Linked DNA regions of Oreochromis niloticus. The protein of the gene in region 2 interacts with the protein of the main gene of each other region in a biochemical or structural test. Links are inferred from orthologs where the notes say so. Each region holds a gene or a part of one and is shown on either strand. Other genes may lie near its edges. The genes, in order: ctnna1, tjp2a and cgna.

Region 1 (7,139 bases), on a different chromosome or scaffold from region 2:
GCCAACACAAGATTTAAACTGGAATTTAGTTCTTCATGTGAGTACTACATAGTTTATAGTAGACTCCTCGGTAAGGATTTTTAAAAGCCAAGAATACCCCACACACTACCCAAAAATAAGTTCTGAACATTAAGAAACACAAGTAAAATAATACTGATTTGATGTTATGCAAACCTCTATAATATAACCACATCTTTGTATCCTTCTATAACAAAAACAAAGGACAAGAAACGGGAGGTAGCACAGAAAATACAACACTGAATATGGTGAGGTTGATTCTCAAGTTCAGATAACTGGGGAGTATCCTAACACTGCGCTAAGAGAACACAAAGGCTTCTCTGGAAAAGTGGTTACATTTGATCCCCACAGAAGGTAAGGCAATGACACCATCTAGCATGAAATGAATCTGAACCATGTGCATGCTTAAACTGAAAGTCTATTAATGGCCTCATTGAAAAACCCATTTCTAAACGAAATCTATCAGACTCAAACCACATTCTTATTTCAAGGATTTCTGCTGGAGCAGATGATGTATACATAGCTTATGGTTTATTTTTCATCCGTCCTTTCTTAAGAGGCACTCTGTACAAGCATGAAGCCACACTGCTGCAATACGTATTTTCAATATACCTTGCTTGCGGACATCTTCCACAGCAGCAGTCAGCTCATCCTTGAGGAACTGACTTTCCTTTGCAATCTTTTCGCCTTTCTCAAGGAAGTTCTCGGTAGCAGTCTCCACTGATGCAGCCAAAACATGGGCCTTCTTGGAGCGCCCCTTCCTCTTGTTAGATGGTCCTTTATTGCTGGTGTTTACCAAAGTGGTGACCTATGGCAGAGATTCATTAGGATATTATATACCTGCCTACAGTTAATAAATAGTGATAAGTCTAAAAAACAGACAACATATGACACTGCCAGGCAAAATACCACAGTATTAAAATGGTGAAATGCAAGAATGAACCACAGAAATAAATCATATTTTTTTACTTTGCTGTTTTGTGAAATAAGATGTGTAAGGTGCCTCCTTTTAATAATATTAATACTTGTTGTATTACCTGTGTGACCAGAGGCTCCAGCAGCCTTTCCACTGCCAGAGTACGGATCTCCAGGCTCTTCGGGTCCCATTTAAAGTTGATGTTTGGTGCGGTGTTGCTAGTCATGATGTCTAGTTTACTGTTTTTTGTTTGTTTTTTTAAAAAAAAGGTCAAAGAGAAAAAAATGAAACAAATGACAAATTAATTCTTCTGAAGCAGAAAATGTAGACTACAGAAAAAATGGACATCTCTGTCCTTTGATTAACTGAATATTTGCTTCCCTGAATGACTTTAAAGTTATAATTTTTCTTCATAAATCAAGATTTCTTTCAGATTATCAGACTAGTGTCTAGAACTCGGTGCATTAAAGAAATTATTAAAGTCCTTGTTAGAGCCGGCAGTGCTCCATTGCTTTCAGAATGAATGCCAACGGCAGAGCACAGCAACACAGTGGCCCAATTTCAATTTCTCTTTTCAGGCAGTGGCTGCGACCCCATTGATTAGCTATCAAACATGGAGGGGCAGGGATAATCAGGATGGCCCGAGGGCTGAGGGGCTTCAACTGAAAAGTTGGTCAGCTGTATTATGTGAGGAATTACAACACTAGCTATTAGCCTACATTACCAACAAAAATACAAAAATATTAAGAGAAGAACATGGTAACCATGGCTGTCTAATTTTATACTGAATCGTTATATATTAGGCGAGCCATTTTCAGTTCTCCTGTATTATTAACCACTTTTCTTCTTTCCGATATACACAGAGTTTCTACCCATGAGTTAACACGCAGTGAAACTGATAATGTTGGGCAGTGTATTGAAAAAGAAATTCTGTAAAGGTTGTTTGACGAAACGTCTGTTTGTCCACACAACATGACGCATTTCCACTGAAAGCAACGTGAAATGCTAGTCATGACACGAAGGGCCAGCGTGGGAGAAACTGCGTTCACCTCCTCTGCATGGGCGTGGTACATGTCGCAAAGTGATATCTACAAATCTCTGCAAATGAAATCGAAACAGTCTAGCAGGCTTGAGACCACTGATTGTTTATGTACGTGACTTGGGCAAAAATAATATTAATGGTTTAAAACTCTCAAACTAAGCCATATGTAGGTACTAATAAGTGTATATACTGTATCCAAACAGGAAAAATCCCGTAACAAAAAAGAAACATGTTAACACTTGCTGAGAAGCACTAGGGTGGGTCAAACACCTGGTGTGCTAACATTAGCTCAACTTCCACCTGTTGCTAAAACTACCTAAACAAACGTCGGTTTTACCCCGTCAAAAAGCGTCAAACGAGAATATACAAAGCAGAAAATACTCGTGTACACATTTAACACCCAATAACGGTACATCTAGGTCATTTTCGATACTTTATTAACCGCAGGCTACAGGTAACATTAAAACCAGCTTAGCTTAGCGTAATGCAGGTTACCTGCTGTAACACGGAGCTCTCCAAACACAGCGATGAGCTAAAGCTAATGCTAAGCGACAAACAACTGTTAGCCTGCTTTCTGCGGCAAACTTTACCGCCTCAACAGACGGTCCAAATAACTAGTCCACTCATTTTTTTTAAGTATTCACTGTACATAAAGTAAGAAAGACTCGTTATATACTCACCGACAACAGTCCGTTAGACAAAGTGAAGTTTAAAAGTTCAAAATGGAGGAATGGGAATTGCGGAATTCCTTGCGTCAAAAGTTTTCCTCCCGTTTCCTCGCCCCACGGACTTAGTTTAACTGCGCCGCTCACTCACGATAAACACCTAAGTTTTCCTCCCTCCGCCCGACGGCTATACAGAAAAGTATCACAAGCGCTCCAGCAAGTCAGCTGAAAAGTTTCGGTTAGGAGAATTTCGATGGAGTAACGTATTACCCAACAATAGATACGGTAAAAGGAGGAGGAGGGGGGCGCTGGGCGGTGACCAAGTTCCTGAACTTCCAGGCAGTGGAGAAGGGAGGCCACGGGCCACAGCAAGTCCGTAAAACCAGGAGGTGTTTTGGGCGTGGTGCTCGCTGTGTATGTCCATATATGGATTAATTACTGCTTCCATAAAGGCAGGAGTAGGGAAGCGCTATTTAAACTGTTGGGCTACAGAACAGGCTTCTGACCGAGGAAGGAAAATAAACTGAAAGTAGTCATTATGAAGGAATCTGATGTTCAAATATGACATTTGATTTGAGGGGATTTTCAGACGTGACATTTTATTGTAATAGTTTTTGTTTTGTTTTTTCTGCCAGAATTTCTTCGAGATGCAATCATAACGGCTAAACTAGAAAGCCAGGAAAAGATTTACTCTTCTTAAGTCTATCACAACAGAAAAAATAATCATTAAAAAAAAAAAAAACAGTGAAATTCTCCTTGAGCAAATCAGTTCATAATCTCGTATTATTGTTAACTCATGTATTGGACCTTTGTCTCCTGTCTTTACTTTCCTCTCTGCACTGCACCACTCAATGACAGCAATGAGCTGGTGTCGATAACAAACTCCAAGGTTTAAGGTTATTACCACAGGCAGTTGCTCTTTTGTCTGATGCTTATTTTCTTACTCTGTCTCTCTGTGTGCGTCGCTAGCAGAATGTAAAACAGAGCCTTTTCAAACTGAAACTATCTTTTTGTGAAGTATCACGGGCCGTGCAAAACTCATCAGAATTGTGCAAACTCTACTTTTTCCTTATTTACTGTATTTCTATTTATCTTAGCACATATTTCATTAAACATAAATATGCAGAACTAGAGGGGTGAATCAAAACTTTTGCACATCACAGTACCTTCTGCTAACTTGCTGATTATCTTCCTTTCAGCTCCTTTCATCTTTAATGTTAACTAAATTTTGAGCGGCTCGATTTGTTTTAAACTAAAATTATGTTTATCTTTTGTTTATGCTCATGGGTTTTACATGTTAGCAACTCTGTATAACAGAATCCCCTAGGGAAAGCCAGCTGATGTGGCATCAGGTGCACAGACACAATGGGCACGTTGAAGCGCCACTTACTCATTTATTATTAATAAATAAACATCATACGAAAACACTGCAGGCATTCTAGACAAGTAAATTAACCAGCATATCTAGAAATGCTTTGTGGATATGCAAACATGTATGAATTCAACTCTTACGAGGTCAAGAGCAAATATATCTCACGTATGTTGTGGACTGCACTTTTGTGGTTTGTTTCAGCAGTGACTGAGAACACTGAGACATTTGATAAACATATTCAAGTGCTGGGTATTTTGGTTCAGGCTTGATGAAGTGTGAAAGACATAAATAGATTATCTAAAGAGGCCAGGTGCCACCCCTCTAGCCTCACTTTTCTAATTCACACATACACGCGCACACGTATAGCAGTGGTAGCTTCAGTTCTTGGTTCTTGGTTGTATAGAACTAGCTGCAGAGCTGGCAATTAATAGTTTATTAATTAAGTTCAATCTGTATCCTTCTAATGTTATGTGTGTTTATGGCACAAGACACCTCTTAAAGAAATACAGTACTGTGAAAAAGTCTTGAGTTACCCCTCATTTTGTAACATTTTGCTTCCAAGGAGCCAGACTTTCTTGCAATATTGCAAAGTGTTTGTAAGTAAAAGTCCTCCAGGCTTTTCTTTTGCCATTGTTTGCTTTTTAGTCATTTTCAGTCCAGTCCTTGTACCTGACCACTTTCGGAGGAATGTGTTTTTGTGTTTGTTAAGCTACTTAACATGGACCTGTGAAAATCATGTGCTTGAGAAAGGGGGGAAAAATCCAGCAAAGACTTGACCTGAGCAGTACAACTGGCCTACTGTTCAGGAGAGCCACTAAAGGCAAACAGAGGAATAAAAAGACTGAAGTATGCCATATTAGATAAGAGCTGGACTAAAAAAATCTGTTATCTCTGTGCTGGTGTTGTTAATGTTGGTCAGCATTGCTACTGACCAGTCATATTTTTGTGATGTCATAGCTTTGGAATATTGAGAAAAAAGAAAACAAATTACTTTGTTTATATTAAACTCTTATGGAACAAATGGTAAGTGTTTAATTTTTTAAAATAATTTTATGCAATATAACAAACATATGATCAAGTTAGCGTTTCTTTTAGCCAAATTTAGGTTACTTGTGTTGGTTTGCTCCGACAGCGTGACTGGTCAGTTGCAATGTTGAGCCAACATTGTTATGATGATGTTGTACACACAAAACCAACACTGGGGTGTCTGTTCAGGCCTAAAAAGGAATCGCAGCAGGTCTTGTGGAGCGATTAATCCAAGTTTGACATTGTGGGTTTTAATTTTTATGAGAATGTATGGAGTAGCTCAGGAGAGAGGAAAAGCAGTGAGTGTCCACAGCCATGTGGAAAATACGGTGGAGGCTCTGTTGTGGTTTGGGGCTGAATTTAATCCAGTGGTGTTGGATAGCTTGTCTAAACTGACTTATGAATGCAGAAAAGTACCATGAGATTTTGATCCATCATGCAATACCAAGTGGAAAGCGTCTGATTGGCAACAGCTTCATATTCAAGCATAACAATGATCCCAAACACACTGCCACTGCAGTGAAAGCATAACTGAATAGAAAAGCACACAATGGAACACTATCAGTCGTTGACTGGCATCCACAGAGCCTGGACCTCAACATTATTGAAGCAGTGTGGGATAGTCATACCAAATACTGACCTTCAAAACTGTTAGAATCGCACAAACTATACGTGATTGCATGTTTCAATAGATCTGTATTGTCCAAGCAAAATATGAAGAACTGATGGGTGAGATAAGACTTTTCTACAGTGCTTCATGTCATGGTTCCAAAAAAAGAGGACAGTCATCAGTAATTCAAAGCAGTGGACACACAGAACATTACAATCAACAATGCTGTCTTGTCCTGCAGCCAAGCACAACTAACACACTTCTATTTGTTGGCTTGAGTAGGTGTTAATTAAGAAGCTCCACCAGTGCAGCATGAATTACAGTCTTGGAGAGAATGAGCTTACAAATGTACTTATCAAGCTCTTAATGAAGGCCTCGGAATATAATTATCTTTCAGAAAGACACTCCTTAATGTTTTTTTTGTGTGTGTGTGTGTAATAATAATTTGTGAAGTAATTGTTTTTGCCATAGAGTTTTGACCATGCTATAACTTAAGGAGTCATGGATTAAATTTCCATATTAAATTCTTTGGGAGGGAAATACAGCAGTGAACTATCTTGTGTGCATTATTAATTTCAGTGTAGAGCAGAGAAAACTGGCATGTACATAGTGTAACAGAGATCTGTTTATCCAATTAATACTCCATAGAGAAGACGGTTTAGATGTGGTGTAATTGTGTTCTTGAATGATGAATGTTTGTCTAAGTAACAGCTTGCTGGGAGGACAAGTTTGGGTGTCCTTGAACTTCATCTTTTTGTACCTGTTGGGCCCGACAAATGATAAGAGCGCAGCATGCTATAAATAATTCCTTCTCATTATGTGGAAGTGCACATGTTTGTCACATACTGAATGTATAATTGAGTGCATGCAAATCTTCAGCGTGTGGCACTAGAAGAAAATGTGGCAATATTATTTTGCGCTATGTCAGGTGAACATTACAAAAATCAAAATCCAAACTGGTATTTATGCTATCTTTCCTCTTAGCTATCATTGATTCTATAGATTAGCTCTACATTTCTATTCAGGGGACACAGCATCTTATTGAATCACAGTCCTTGGCACTGCTCCACGCCGATAAAAGAAATGCTCATGGTGACTACTAAATGTAAGCATCTTTCACAATTGTGTTATTATCTATTGTTTTTTTCAGTCATGGATGCAACTGTATGTTATAGCTTCCTGTCAAAGTAGTTACTCATGCTTTGACGGTGACTGAACTGGAAGCTGCCTCGCTGCTGGAGGAATTTTGTTCCCTGACATAAGGAAGACAGCGACTTTCAGTCTGCCTACGATCACCTGACTCATCCTGACAGCTGTCCATGGAGCTGCATGATGTCATCTGCAGGCTTTCCCCTTCCTAAGTAAGACCCTGTACCTTGATTAGAAATGAGTGTGTGGTGATGCATGGCATCAGAGAGAAGTCAGCCGACTAGTGACGCTAATGATAATCAGTCATTCATCGAGACAGTCCTGCAAAGCGGAACAGAAAC
Region 2 (7,189 bases):
ATGCTCGAGTAGTGCTGGGGTGCTGCATTACTAAGGCCCGGGCCATTATGCAATGTCCGTATGCAATGCATGTGAGCGCCAGATGGAGGGACACATGCCACTCACAAATCTGGGATGAGAGTGTGCAGACAGAAAGGGAAAGGGGGAGAAAAAAAAAATCAGTGTGCACATCCCCTCCACAGGTATAATCTGGATCAGCTGCAAGCATGTAGTGACATGGAGGGGTGAATTAAAGAGTCAAAAAAGCAACACGAGATGGAAAGAAGACACTTTTCAGTTTATCTGTAAAAAGCTGGGTCTCCCTGCTAGAAGTGTTTCCGTTCATGAGGACCATGATCCAAGAAACTCAATGACACTGTTGACCCCCCATGCAGATTACTTAAACTCTTTTGGGGATGTACCAGTTGTGAAATTCCATTAATCCAAGTCTTTCAGGTTTTTAGCCTGAACAACAGACATGTTGAAATGTGCGTAAGCACAGTACTGTAAACCACACATCTACAGATATTACACAGAATACCACCCAAAGTAAGGTTTATGCCACAGCTGTCCTAAATTAACAGTATTGGTAATTACCAAAAATATTTTTTATGTTTCTGTAATGGTTAATCCACCGATAAGTGCACACTCTCTCTTGAAACTATATTTTTAACAGAAAAATACAAATATTGTTGTAATTTGCACATTTTCAGATTTACCGTTTTACAAAAAAAAGCTGAAAAATAATAAAACACAGGATCGTTTTTTGATTAAGATACCAAATTACAGTTATTTACTTGCAATCCTGAACAAGTAATTTTAGTGGCTGAATTTTATACTTGATTAATTCCTGACTTTTCAGAGAAGTCCAGTGTACTGTCTTAAATTTGGGCATAAAAATGCAAATTTAGTTTGTTATTTACCTGATAAATAATAATAATATATTTCTAGTTTTAAACAGGTTTCTAACAGATTAAAAAAAACCAAAAAAACATCTGTGTTTTCTTGCTGCCAAAAATTGCACAAACACACATATCAGGAAGTATTTGTACAGGTAAACACCACCACATGGAAAATTTGTATTCACTCTCATTTAATGGCTACTTCCTTTTAGATACTGAATTGTAAACAAAATAAAAGAACTATGTCTGAAAACATTACACAATATAAGACCCACAAACACGTAAATGCAAAGATTTCGAGATGATAAAAGTGCAACTCTGCCATTTGTTTTAAGGGTGCACATGCTGTATAGCTATATTTACACACGGTGCAATTTTAATGTTTTTTACTTTTTTAATGTTTTAAAAAAAAATTTTTTCACTATTCCCGATCTTTATGTTTTATTCTGAAAGATATTTATCCAAAGAGCTTAAACTGTTAGTTTAAGCCAGGGGTGGGCAACTCCAGGCCTCGAGTGCCGGTCTCCTGCAGGTTTTAGATATCACCCTGGGTCAACACACCTGAATCAAATGATTAGTTCATTATCAGGCCTCTGGAGAACTGAAGACATGTTGAGGTCATTTAACAATTTGAATCAGCTGTGTTGGATCAAGGACACATCTAAAACCTGCAGGACACCAGCACTCGAGGCTGGAGTTCGACACCTGGTTTAAGCTAAGAAGCAGCCTCCAGAACTACAAAATGAAACCAATGTGGAAGTGCCAAAAACAGCTGTTTTTCTAGAATAGTTTTTCTATGAATAGCTAGCACTTTCATACCAGCTGTGTGGTGATTATTATTAATATCATTATTATTTTAGTTTTAAAGTATATGGTGTGGCTCCTGTGATTTACAGGTGTCCCAAACAGGCTGTTTTAGCCAAGAGATGCATTATAAGCCTCAGCACTGGTGGTACATTTTGGAGGATTTCTGAAGGAATTACCACAAAAAAATCATGGCTTACTATAACTTATAACAAATTAAGTCCTATGGAGTAGCATGTGTACATCTCCGTGTTTTACTTGCACAGTTTATAGAGACGGGCTGCTAACCAAGCTAGTGCTCCAAACTCATCCAAATGTGGTCATTGCTGGTTCCTCATGGCAGTGGCTAAAAACAGTAACACTGCAAACTTCTATATCCTAGTCTAATGGCACTGGGTGATGCGACTCTGGCTGTATCCATCTTTTATCTACAGTCTATGATTCACCCCCATGTTTAAAATAGTTTATAGCTTCCACCCTTCAGTCTTTGAACCTCAACAGTGATCAGAAATGCATGTCAGTAAATAAAAACTTATCCGAGAGGTTTCTTTCTCTTGCTTTTTTGTTATAAGCACGTCATTTGTGATTATGCTGGTTTATATCTATGCAATGAAATGATATTTTTGAATGTTTGTAAATTGCTAAGATATAAACTAGTAATAATAATAATAATAATAAAAATGATAAAACACGAGGAAACACTCACAGTGTGAGCTCCTGTTCAATTTCACTTCATTCAAGTTTATTTATATTGCGCCAAATCACTACAACAGTTGCCTAAAGGCGCTTGAGGTGTGCCTCTAGTGCGCTGAAACTAGTAGTAAGCGCATGAATACACACGCAGAGGAGACAGCTACACGCAGGCCCGAATACAGTGTAGGTCATACCTGACGTTTTGACAACAAGAAACTCTCAAATAAATTAAAATATGACACGCTGCTGCCTTCAAGCACCAAGATAAAAAATGTTATCTGTTGCTTAAGCCGTCAGGGCAACACCTTCAATTTACAGAGGCACCATTAAAGATGTGGTAAAATGGCAGTGCGCGCCACAAACACGGCGAAAGCAAATCGATACTCACTGCGGACAATGCCGGGCCTACTTACCAGGTGAAACTTCGTGTGTCCTGTCTTTATGTGACCGCAGGCAGCAGAGTAATCCCAAAAGCTGAACTGGACAAAGGAAGGGTGAAGAAGGAGAGGATTTTGACGGAACAAAGTTTTGGCGAGCCTCGAAAAATCCTTCTTCCTGGTTCTCTCAGGTATGTGGGCGTAGCTTAGAAACGGCAGGTGTGCTGTGTGCAGCTCCACTGCAGTTTCACTCATGACCTTTTAGGGCGGTGCCATTCTTCTGAGTCACTCTTCCTGTGTCATATAAAGGGACTTTAATACCGAAACTCCATACTCACCAGCTACTTTATCAGGCACTTTGTTGCTACTACTGGGCTGGACCTAGTAATAGCAAGAGTCCAGCGTGGCTTTAATTCTTTATGGCATATATTCCACAAGTTGCTGGAAACATTCCTCAGAGATTCTGGTCTATTTTGACATGATAACATCACAAAGTTGCTGCACATTTGGTTGCACATCCGTGATGCAAATCTCCCCTTCCACCACATCCTAAAGGTGCTCTATTACAACAAGATCTGGTGACAGTAGAAGCCAGTTGAGTACAGGGAACTCACAGACACCAGCGGTTCAACAAAACAGTTTGAGATGATTTGACCTTTGTGAAATGACGTGTTATCCTGCTGCTAGCCATCAGGGGGTGTGATCATAAAGGGATCAGCAAAAATAATCGTGTAGGTGATGTGATGTTAATACGATGTTCATTTGGTACTAAGGGGTCCAAAGTATGTCAAGAAAATATCCCCCACATCATTACACCGCCAGCATCCTGAACCCCTGGTACAAGGTGGGATGAATCCATGGTTTCATGTTGTTCACACCAAATTCTTAGCCTACCCTTTTAAGTGTCGCAGCAGAAATCGAGCCAAAAACGTTTCCAGTTTTCTGTTGTACAATTTCAGTGAGCCTGTGCAAACGGTAGCTTCAGTCCCCTGTTCTTAGCTGACATCAACAGTGAGGTTTTGCCCAGAGAGCTGCTGCTCATTGTCTCTTTTTTGGACCATTCTCAGTAAGCCCTAGAGATGGTTGTGTGGGGAAAATCCCAGCAGATCAGCAGTTCCTAAAATACTCAGACCAGCCCATCTGGCACCAAGAACCATGCCACGTTCAAAGCCATTTAAAATGTCATTTTTCCTCTTTCTGATGCTCAGAGATAACTTTAGTAAACACAAAATATGCAGTTATGTGAATCTAATCTTGCACTCAGATGTTTGTCTCGTTTTAATTCTCAGTGCTAAATCTGCACTGCAGAAAACATATGGACAACTTTGCTCAGAGCTGATAAGTAGAGCTTCAAGGGCAGCTGCTCAGATTGACTGTGGAGTTCTTTTGAGTGAATCTCTTTTTTCATTTATGTCTATTAAGGCCTGGAGCAAGATTCCTAAAAGCTTGAAAACATGTATAGATTTCCATAGTTTCATATTTTCTCTTATGATGTAATCAATAAATAAATGAAATTAAAAATAATTATACTAATAAATAAGGCTTGTCAATGTTAATCAAATGTCACTTTTCTTTCTTTTACCCTGTATCATCCTGATCATCCTGAGTTCATGTATTGACAGCAGGGGTGTAGCCACATAGGGAGGATGGGGTGGCACTGGCTCCCTGTGAAATGTGATTGGCCTCCCTGGTATCCACCCAGTAGTCCCATAGTGCCACTCGTTTTACATACATTACACCATGAAAGCATGTGTAACACCAGTGGTGGAAAGTAGGAAGGTAGATAAAAAAAACTAAAAGAAGAAAACATGGAGCCATTTTCTTCCACTTATCTGAAATAAGGTCACGGAGGCAGCAGCCGAAGCAGGGAAGCCCATACCGCCCTCTCGCCACCTCCTCCAGCTTATCCAGGGAAGTATTTTGGCATTTCCAGGCCAACCGATGGATGTAATCTCTCCAGCACATCCACGGTTTACCCCGGGTCCTCCTCCCAGTTGGACATACCCGCCCGGGACACCTTACCCAGTCGGTGACAGCCTTAGCTGGCTCCTTGTGTGGAAGAGCGGCGGCTCTACTCTGCGCTCCTCCTGAATGACTGAACTACTCACCCTATCTCTAAGAGAGGGCCCTTAGCCCTTTTTGTCTTATCAAATACTAATCGCTTTATTGTCGGTCCGTCCTGTGTCACCCTACTTAAAAAAAAAGGAAAAGCCCCCATTTGATTGTCTGGTTATGGAATGAGGGTGAGTACATGCAGGGGTGTTGTACCGAGGGAAAGCGACTAACTGAGACCACAAACATGGGAAGGGGGCTGTTACAAGCTTGGAATGAGTCTGTTTTTGTTTGCATTTTTTAAAATTTCTAATAAGTTGGATTGTTATAATGAATGGTTTATAATGGTTTAGCACGCTAATTTGTTTAATCTAGCTGGCCGCTAATAAGCAGCGCATCAGTGTGTCTGTGTGGGACAATGGCAGGTGATAGTGTTACATTTTTGTATCTATTTTAAAAATAAGAGTAACTGAGCGTGTTACAGGACTAATATATCACATTTCCTGCTCTTTCGCTAAGTAAATATAATAAGGATAAAAGGAAGCATAAGTTTGTTCTTGTGGCCAAATGTGAAAGTCTTATTCTCCTATATTCTTTTATTTCACTGTTATTTCAGCTGCTGTTCTGTCTGGTAACAGGTTTTGACTTTCAGTAGGGATGCATCCCTTTTTTGAGCCATATCTGGCAATTTGTAATCAATTATGACACATATACTGTGCTACTTGACACCATATTGAAACACAGTATGTATTCATTTTTGCTTCATTTTCTTTGTGGTAGTTTCTATCATAGGCACCAAAATCTGCAAAGCTTGTAACTTTTTGGTAATTTCTCCTGGTGAATATGATCAACCTTATCCTTCTGACTATAATAAAATGCATTCCCTTCATATGCATTGAGTAAAAGGCAAATTTTAGAAATGTGTCTTGTAGGGACAGTCAAAATTTCTCATGTCTCGGACTGTCTGTATAGGGGTGGATTGGTTGGTGTTTCGATCCCAGTCTGCTCCAGTCTGCATGCCAAATATCCTTATAGGCAAGATACTAACCCCATGTTAGCATACGTGTGAATGTTAGATAGAAAGCAGTTAGAAACAGCGTAGAAAACAGTGCTTGTGTGAATGTGTGTAAATGGGTACTCAGAGTAGAAAAGTGCTATATGAGAACCAGTCCATGTAACACACAGAGGGAAATGTTAGGAGAAGGAGTGAAAGAAAACTGGGGGAAGTAAGAGGTTATGAATGGTTTCTCTGTCAGCAGCTGTTAAAGACAGTGAGACAGTACTATATCTGTCACATTTCCCTAGTACAGTTTAACATACTCAAATGCCTATACCTTAATTTGTTTACGCTTTATTAGACCCAGAAGCCAGCGCATTTAAGTCTGGTCAAACAGCATTTTAAAACACCACAATGACACTTGTCATTCATTCAATAAGGTGCTGGAAGCATTCCTGAGAGATTTTCGTCCATATTGACATGATAGCATGACTCGTCATGTTCAAGAAACCAGCTAAGGGATGGATTTGACATTCAACTGCTGCTCACTGGGTATTTTCTCTTTTTCTGATAACTCTCTATAAGCCCCAGAGATGGTTGTGGTGGGAAATCCCAGTAGATCCGCATTTTCTGAAATACTCAGACGAGCCTGCCTGGCATTAACTAACATGTGATGTTTAAAGTAACATGAATCTCTTCCCCATTCTGATGCTCACATTGAACTTTAGCACGTCATCTTGATTATGTCTACATGCCTAAAATCATGTGTTAGCCAGCAGCCAAACACACATATGTCTGTGTACATTTGTCACATTTTAAATGAGGTTTCATATTTGGTGATCAAACACTAAAGAATGTAACTCAAGGATCACTTTTCCACCATATCTTTCACCGTCTTCCTCTGAGTATGTAGCCACAGTGAGCACTGATGTAAAATCTGTTAGTGATTCAGGCTGTTGCTGCCACCTGTACACACTCCTATTGTTACTACTCGAGCGGTGAATGTGTGGTGATATAAAACTGGTGTGACCGGTTTAACCTGCTCTGTTAGGACCCTCTGCCCTGAATAGAGTCTCTTTGTAAACAGAAAAACAATGAACAAGCTGTTGACAATCAGCAGTCAGACATTGTCAAAAGACTGAAACTTGACTCAGTGAAGAGGGGAAATAACCTCACCAGTAAGCAACACATAGAAATACGGGTTAATCAACAGAAGCCATGGATACTGCCCTCTATTTTATATTAAAGCAACATAATTTTGAAGCAAAAAACGAACACACATATCAAAGTAAAGATATTGAAATAATTTATTTCCCTGATACAAGTTTAAAGTATTGCTATGGTACAATTATAGGCCTACAAAGCATCTTAAAGCACTGATTTTT
Region 3 (7,346 bases), on a different chromosome or scaffold from region 2:
TGGAAATTAATTCAGAAGGATTGTTTTGTTTCCTCAATAAAGTAAACACAAAATTGCTGTTATGTGTGTGCTGTACAAACAAAATCCTCGTTATCCTTCTTCCACACCCTAAACCCTAAACCCCCACCCTTCCCATGATCCCTCCCTCCTTTTCTCTACCTGACAGAGCTCTAACAATGTCCTCCTTTCTCCACTCCCACGGCAGTTCGTACTCTCCAGCTGGACGGACATCAGACTCCGGTCGTGTGACAGGGATCCACACGCCCTCACTGTCGCCTTCCAGTCCTCCTTCGTAGGGTATGTCATAGATGTTTGGGGGTGCAGGCATTACCTCTTCTGCCTTCCCCTCGCTTTGGCCTCGATCCAACAGGACACATACTTTCAAGAGGTCTTTGGAGCCCCGTCTACGAACCTCTACAGCAGAATGGATATGTGATTAGCTAACTGTATATAAGACTTGAACAGCTAAAGGCACATAATTGGCCTTCCCTTCAATATTACACCCCCACCTTAGTGTTTAAAGCACATTTCCCTTACAATATGTGTTCAGAAAAACAACTAAATTACAGTAGAAAAAAATTAAAAATGTACTTTTACTGAAATAATTTACGTGCCATTTCAAACATAACCACTATAGTCCAAATCAGATATTTTGGACAAAATACAGAATAAAACTGACGTTTAGAAACATCCTTAGTTTATTACAAGCTTTCACTCAAGTGCACAAATTAGGAGTTTACACCACACAGTCTGTAAAGCAACATTGTGCTGATTACATATATAGACTCCACTGTTCTGTCCTTCATTTGCTCGTTTCTTTTAAATAAATCAAGTATTGTTTGAATATTGTCTTTTTTTAACATTTTCGGGGAATTTTAATTGTTATGTTCCTTTTTGTTTTTTCATTTGGTGCCCGGCAGGTAGCCTGTGTGTCTACACTATTGTGTGACCAAACAATGGATTTACAGGAAGAAAAGGTCAACACAGCCGTTGATTGGCTCACTAACCGGACCGCTTCCTGACTGTTGGGAAGTGATTGGGTGAGACCGGGGGGAAACCTGTAGGTTTTTAGGGAGGGGTGAGAGGGGGGCTTTCGATTCTTGTCACATGCAGGGGACCATAAAGTATCTGGTGTCTGTCTCTGTGTGTTTGTGTATGTGTGGAAGGGGAGGCAGGAGGGCATTAGGGCCAATGTCCTATCGAGAGAATGGGGCAAAGGAAACAGAGGCAGGAGACAGGAAGCTGGAAGAGGAAGCTGCACCCATTGTCCCTGCACAACACTGTTACTATAGCCACCGCCAGCGGGGAGGGAAGTCAGTAGAGAGACTGAGGATCTAGCTTGGCTCTCAGTCCCTTTAAAATGATAAGTTAACAAGAATGTGATGCAGTCTAAGTGCTGATAAACTTAAATAAGATGTATAATTAGTGTTCCTTTACGAGCTCACAATACACTTGGCTTATCAAGCACGATATACAAAGTGAAGCAAAAGGTTAAAAAATTGGAATTAAGTTCTCAGAAAAATAAAAGATAGTCAACTTAAAGAAAAAAATACAAGGTGAAGATGTAGGAAGGATGTTGCTAGTGTTATTGTTGTGTTTCTATAAGCGATTCTGCCATTCTGTTTAAAGATGTGCTGTAGGACCAAGTTCACGACTGAATTCTTCTGCTATATTCACAAAAATATGTCGTTCACATTTGCTCAGCTGCTGAGAAAACAGTCCAAAACTCCGGAAAGCCAAGAAGCACCTTCATAATAAAACTTTGGCTGCTGAGATACGAGATCATGTGACCCTGACCTCACCTGTGATGATGACCTGGGCGTCATAAGGCTCCATGTACCCATCATTCACTCCTGCTCTCTCAGCTTCTCTCTGCTCCTTTGTTTTCTCCGCATCAAAAGGATCTGCATAGTCCTCCAGGATAATCAGCTGTTGAAAAGGGAAAAGCACAATGCCGGCCTGCTACCTATTCAAAAGTCACAGAGACAACAAGCAGTGTGCATGTGTGTGTGTGTGTCTGTGCGTGTGTGTATGTGTGTGGTGTCCATGACTGAGTGACAAGTAATGGAGGGACAAGCGGAAATACTTGTGCAAAGAGGTCAGCGCATTGTGTTTGCCTGTGTGATCTGAAACAATGAAGTGAAACTGTATTGTATTCTTTTGAGAACGATGGAAACTGAATACAGGGTTATGATCTGAGACATGGAGGGAAAACACAAAGGAAAGCACTGACCTTAAGCCCTGTACTATAATGATGTTTTAATGAACTAATTCATAAATAAATAGCTGCTGAAATATGAAGACATGTTATATGGGCATGTTATATAATTTCTATAAGTTACTCACCGTTGTTTTAATGTCAGATCGTCCTTTCTCGTTCTCGGGTAGCTTCTGTTCACATATCCCATTGAGTTTGGGGGTCTTTTCTTGTTTGTCCACTTTGATCATCCTGCTGATGTACGCTTGAGCCACACTAGAGGTCCTGACCTGGCGGTTCTCATCCGATGACGCGGTGTCGCTCTTGGTGTTCTTGCGACCTTTTCCAGCCGTGAGACTGTCCCAGACTGTTCCACCAGAACCAGCATTGTTACGACCCAGTTCTGTAGCCGAATTCTTCCTATTTCTCCCTGCCAACAAACCCCCCACTCCCCCATCTCTGCGCTGATTTCCTTTCAAACTGTCTCGTGAAAATGAAGGTTTGGGTCGAGTTTGTGGACCAGATTCGGAGGCTGAGCGCACTCTTTCATTTCCGTTCTTCAGGTTGATGGGGAAATCTCTGAACCATTTTGCCATGGTTGTTAAGTTGATGACACTTCTTACTGATTTTAAAAGTTACTAAAAGTTACTGGATTTTTTCCCACCTCCTTGCATTAGCCTCCCCCTAAAAGTTACTTTTAGCCTTCCTCAACAGCTCCAACTTTACGCACACTCACTTTGTTCACACTTCGACTGAAGTAACTTTGGTATGCAAGGATATCTGACTAATCACTTTAAGCAGATCCCACTTTATGATTCTATGCTGATTCCTAGCTCCTGAGACTCTCTCACAACTTCTGGTGCGTCTTGGAGATCATTAGCCAGCTGCTCTGTGTTGCTGTCACCCTGCACCTGCAGTAACAACTATCCCTGCAGTTTGAAAAGTAACTTTTGCAGAGCATAAACTCGAAAGAATTGGAAGTTTTTCTTTGAACCCAGTAAAGATCCCATTCCCGGAGCGTGAGATAGTGCGTCCAGTCTGTCGACCAGGCGAAGTGATGAGAGGAGTGAAAGGAGAGGAAAGTTGGAGTGAGCAGACTGGGGGATGTCGCTGGTTTCTGGGGAGGAGCTGCGCGCACGGGGCGGAGTGGCAGTTTTACTCAACAAGGAAGATTGTAAATCTCATGAAAACTTTTTATTTCCAGAACCCAAACTCTAAAACTTTTCTTTTTATTCTTCAACACACAATAAGTTTAATAACTGTGTTCAGCTCAGCTCTACACACATAACATTGCAACAGCAAAAGATAACAAAGGACAAAAAAGTTATATTTATTTATATGGGTTTTTTTTTTACACTCAGGGATGTTCCCAGGATTTCTTAAATCTTACACGGGTAAGCTATTACAATGTCAAAAATTGTGCTTAAATTGGAAAAGTGAAGTTTAAATATGTCTGTAGGTTCTCAGTTATCCAGTAGACTGGACTTCAGTGGGTTCATGAAGATGTTTCCCCTCTTGTGCACGAGACTTCTTCAGTTCTGCCCTTTCGATGAGAGGCAAAACATGCTCATAAATCTAAAGAAGTCTCGTTGCCTTCTTTTCAAGCTCTCAATTTTCAATTTAATTTTGTTGTATTCTCAACAATAATCAACTGAAGGTGATTTATATTTACATAAAGACTCAACAATATTAGTAAGAAAAATCCCAAGAATCACATGACCCCTTATGAGCAAGCACTTGGTGACAGTGGGAAGGGAAAAGAAATCACAATTTTGGTTGGAAGACACCAACCGATGCCATCTACAATCTTGTTGCTATGATAGCAAAGTGCTACAGCCCAGAGAACCAGCCGGTGTACGGCTGCGCCATCTACTGGTTAACAGGAGAAATAAACGTTGTGAGGCACCTGCGTCTATCAGTAGTCCTTGAAAAGTTTTGTTTATCTAGGTTACGCGGGTCATTATTTGGAAAAAAAAAAAATACAAGTTCCATTTTCAGCAAAAAAAAGGTGAAAAAATGGTCCAGAAACAAGGAATGAGTGGCATGGAGGTTTCACCAATTACAAACCTAGACAGTATCAATAGCCCCGCCCAAGCCAGCGAAACGGCCCAATCACAGCGCCGTACTTGGCGGGGCTGGGCGGAACGTTTACATCCCTGACAAAAAGGTAACAGGTTGCATTCCCAGCAGCAGCATAATGAACTTATTGCTGTGATAATTTCCGTAGGAGTTAGGTTTTTCTGTTCACGTTTCCGTGTGGGCTTTAATGGATGTCAGTCAATATATCTGAATTATTATCGGCATACAGCAGGCGAGAGGATACGAGAGGAGCAGAAGAATAAGTTCAGAAAAAAAGAGGTAAGTTCACGCTGGGTTTGGGACCTCTCATAGCCAGACAACTAAACCAGACAGGCGCCGCTCCTCGGACAGTTACTTTGACGCTTTGTGGGTTTCTGGTGCTGCCCAGCGGCACTTATTTTTGATTTATGGCAGTTATGTAATAGTTTATTTGGTAGTGTCACTGTGAGCCAGTGTAGCTGAGCAGCTAACGATGGTTCGAGAGAAACAGCGCTACCAGCTAACGTTACTCCAAGATAACTTTTGGATTTGCCCGTTAAGTGAAGGGAAGTAAATGACAAATAAAACAGAATAATACGTCTCTTTAAGACAAATGTAAGTATAGCGAAGGTAGGCTTATTGTCAGAGGTTTAACTTTTAAAACCACAAAGTTGTTTAGAAATGAGCCAGGTGTTTCCGTTTCTGTGCACACCTGTGTACACCTGTGCGACCAGGAGATCTGTCATTGGAACAACGGTACAGGAGAAACGTTTTTAGCACATAGCTCAAAAGGATGAATGCAACTGTAGGGAAACCATTAAAGGATTGAACCCGGGTAAACAATGGATAAACATGCATTTCAAAGTACACCTGCTTTTGTTCTCTTCACAGCTCATGTGAAACTGATGACACGGGCAAGAAGGAACAGCAGATTATAGTTTTGAGGTGGGGAAAGGCTCATGGATTGGGTCGTGAATTTCACTAATTATAGCATTGAGCCTGCAAAGCTTCGGGTACAGTTTCAGAACTCGTAATGCGGTGGGAATGCCTCACATTGGACTAACAGATAAAAGACCTGTGCCGTGTTACACGTACAAGCAGCTGATACACTCAAGTGTGCAGATAAAACGCCATAAAGTGAGTCTCCCACACTGACACACTTTCAGCCCCTGTATGTGTAAAGGACAGAGAGACCAGTGTCAGGAATTTGGAAAAGGGAGGGGTGTATTTATGTGCTCCTACTTTTGTGTCATTTTTTTTGTACATTGTTATGCCAATGAACTCCTTTGCACTGAGAAGAGGAATAAATGGGTGTTTGTTTGAGGGTGAAAGAGGATGAGGGCTTGGTGTTATGTCAAGAATGTAATGGAGAGGGAGTATACTCTGAGGACTGAGTACCTGACTCTCCTTTAAAAGCAGAAGAGAGAGTACAGCACTTGTATCTCTGTTGCTTACATGATGACATTTGTGATTTGCAGGACAGTCCTGTAAAACTTTATGATTCACTTGGAAGAAAAGGAGGATTAAATGTTTTTTACAGCATCCATATGCCAGCTTTATAGCATGCTGTAAACTAGCTCTCAAATAGTCCAACTAGCTATGAGTTGATAACATTTTGATTTATTTGTTTTGTTGGGGTTTTTTTAAGGGCAAATATTTTCAGATGTGGTGTTTTGAGGCTTCCTTGGTTTAGTGTCTGGCTGTTTTCCATCGCTTTCAAGCTCATTCAGCACACAGGCGTTTACATTTTCATTCTTAAGACGTTTATACAGTGCTTACCAAATTTATTAGACCCCCGCGCATTGTAGGTTTTATGGCACATCTGCCCTAAATTAACAGTATCGGTAACCAAAATCATTTTTATGTTTCTGTTCTTTAAAAGTTCTTTAATCAAAATTATGTTTTGGATGCAAAAATCTTAATTATTGCTTTATTTTTTTATTTTATTTTTATTTTTTACAAAAGCAGTAAAGCACATTATTATTTTTCTGATTAAGATGTGTAATTAGAAAAACCGTTTCTGCCAAGTCCGGTTTTGTGGCTTTATGAGGACAGAAGCTCCGCCCACTTGCTGTTCAAACCTTCTGTTTGCTTTTGGTAGCCAGTAAAAAGAAAGTTTAAAGGGAGAGGAGCTCAATGAATTGTTTCAGGTGTTAATTAATTGAGGAGTCAAACCAAAGACCAGTATAGGATAAACAAGGTTTGTTTTGAACTGTGACTCATGCAAAGCTGTTCTCGTATAGTTTGAGAACGAGAGAAGACTGGCTTTACTTAAAAACATAGCACATGCTTACGTACTTGTAGTGCTTACGTTTTGGCATGAAGGGTTGTTTTTATACCCTAAGGATATGTTTTTGGCACATGTTGCCATTACCCTTGTCTGCCATCTCCAGCGGTGTCATTTTTGGGCCAGTCTAGAGATGATGCGATCACATTAGCCATGTGGACTGAGTCAGCAGAGGCATGTGATTCCACACGTTGCCGTTGTTTCATTTTTCTCCTCACCCATTCTGATGTCCTCATTCTTTTTTCCTTTTCCTTTCCACCTTAGGTCTTAAAACGAAAGCAGCTTCAATTCAATTTACTTTTTGAGAATTGAGTTTGAGGCCACAGGCACAGGCTCGTCAGCATAACTGCAGGGTAGCACGACTCTCATGAAATTACAAAAGCTCCAGATATAGCTGTGCAAGCAAAGCTGGTCTGTTATTAAAGTTGCAGTACTCATAGTTATGATTCTGGGTCTCTAGAGTGAACACTGTTTAGTCGCTTATTGGCTAATGGATTGCTTTCTGTATTTAAAAAAAACAAATTCATGGGTTTTACAGACCTGAAACAATCACCTTAGGTGTGACATGTTAGTTTCACTCACGAGTTTAAGATCAAAGGAGAGCTTGTTTGCCATCCTACTCTCAGTGTAGAAAGCATGTTTATTTAGAGTGCTGTGGAGGAAAAAACACTTTGGAGTGAAGCCTAAAAGCAAAATTTAAGCATTGAAAATGACTTCTTATAATCAGATGGACAGTGTGACAGAAGAGAAAGGGGCAGGAGCAGCAGGGGTAGTTAAAGCATTCCAGAATTGCTGCCCTCATTT

Evidence for each region.
Region 1: the proteins of tjp2a (region 2) and ctnna1 form a complex in vitro, tested with the Homo sapiens proteins (2 studies listed by BioGRID and IntAct, with this or other methods). The link is inferred for Oreochromis niloticus from reciprocal best matches to the Homo sapiens genes TJP2 and CTNNA1.
Region 3: the proteins of tjp2a (region 2) and cgna form a complex in vitro, tested with the Homo sapiens proteins (2 studies listed by BioGRID and IntAct, with this or other methods). The link is inferred for Oreochromis niloticus from reciprocal best matches to the Homo sapiens genes TJP2 and CGN.

What each region holds. Positions count from the first base shown.
Region 1 is NC_031966.2:29,112,149-29,119,287, reverse strand, and holds the start of ctnna1 (catenin alpha-1), read right to left. Parts: upstream 3,014-7,139; 5' UTR 2,657-3,013; intron 1,174-2,656; 5' UTR 1,161-1,173; coding exon 1,056-1,160; intron 827-1,055; coding exon 631-826; intron 1-630. UniProt on the Homo sapiens protein: Associates with the cytoplasmic domain of a variety of cadherins. The association of catenins to cadherins produces a complex which is linked to the actin filament network, and which seems to be of primary importance for cadherins cell-adhesion properties.
Region 2 is NC_031972.2:31,498,367-31,505,555, forward strand, and holds the start of tjp2a (tight junction protein ZO-2a), read right to left. Parts: upstream 3,017-7,189; 5' UTR 3,011-3,016; coding exon 2,792-3,010; intron 1-2,791. UniProt on the Homo sapiens protein: Plays a role in tight junctions and adherens junctions. Acts as a positive regulator of RANKL-induced osteoclast differentiation, potentially via mediating downstream transcriptional activity.
Region 3 is NC_031976.2:20,779,674-20,787,019, reverse strand, and holds the start of cgna (cingulin), read left to right. Parts: upstream 1-4,341; 5' UTR 4,342-4,555; intron 4,556-7,346. Other genes in the region: she (SH2 domain-containing adapter protein E), read right to left, coding at 160-414, 1,803-1,929, 2,347-2,793. UniProt on the Homo sapiens protein: Probably plays a role in the formation and regulation of the tight junction (TJ) paracellular permeability barrier.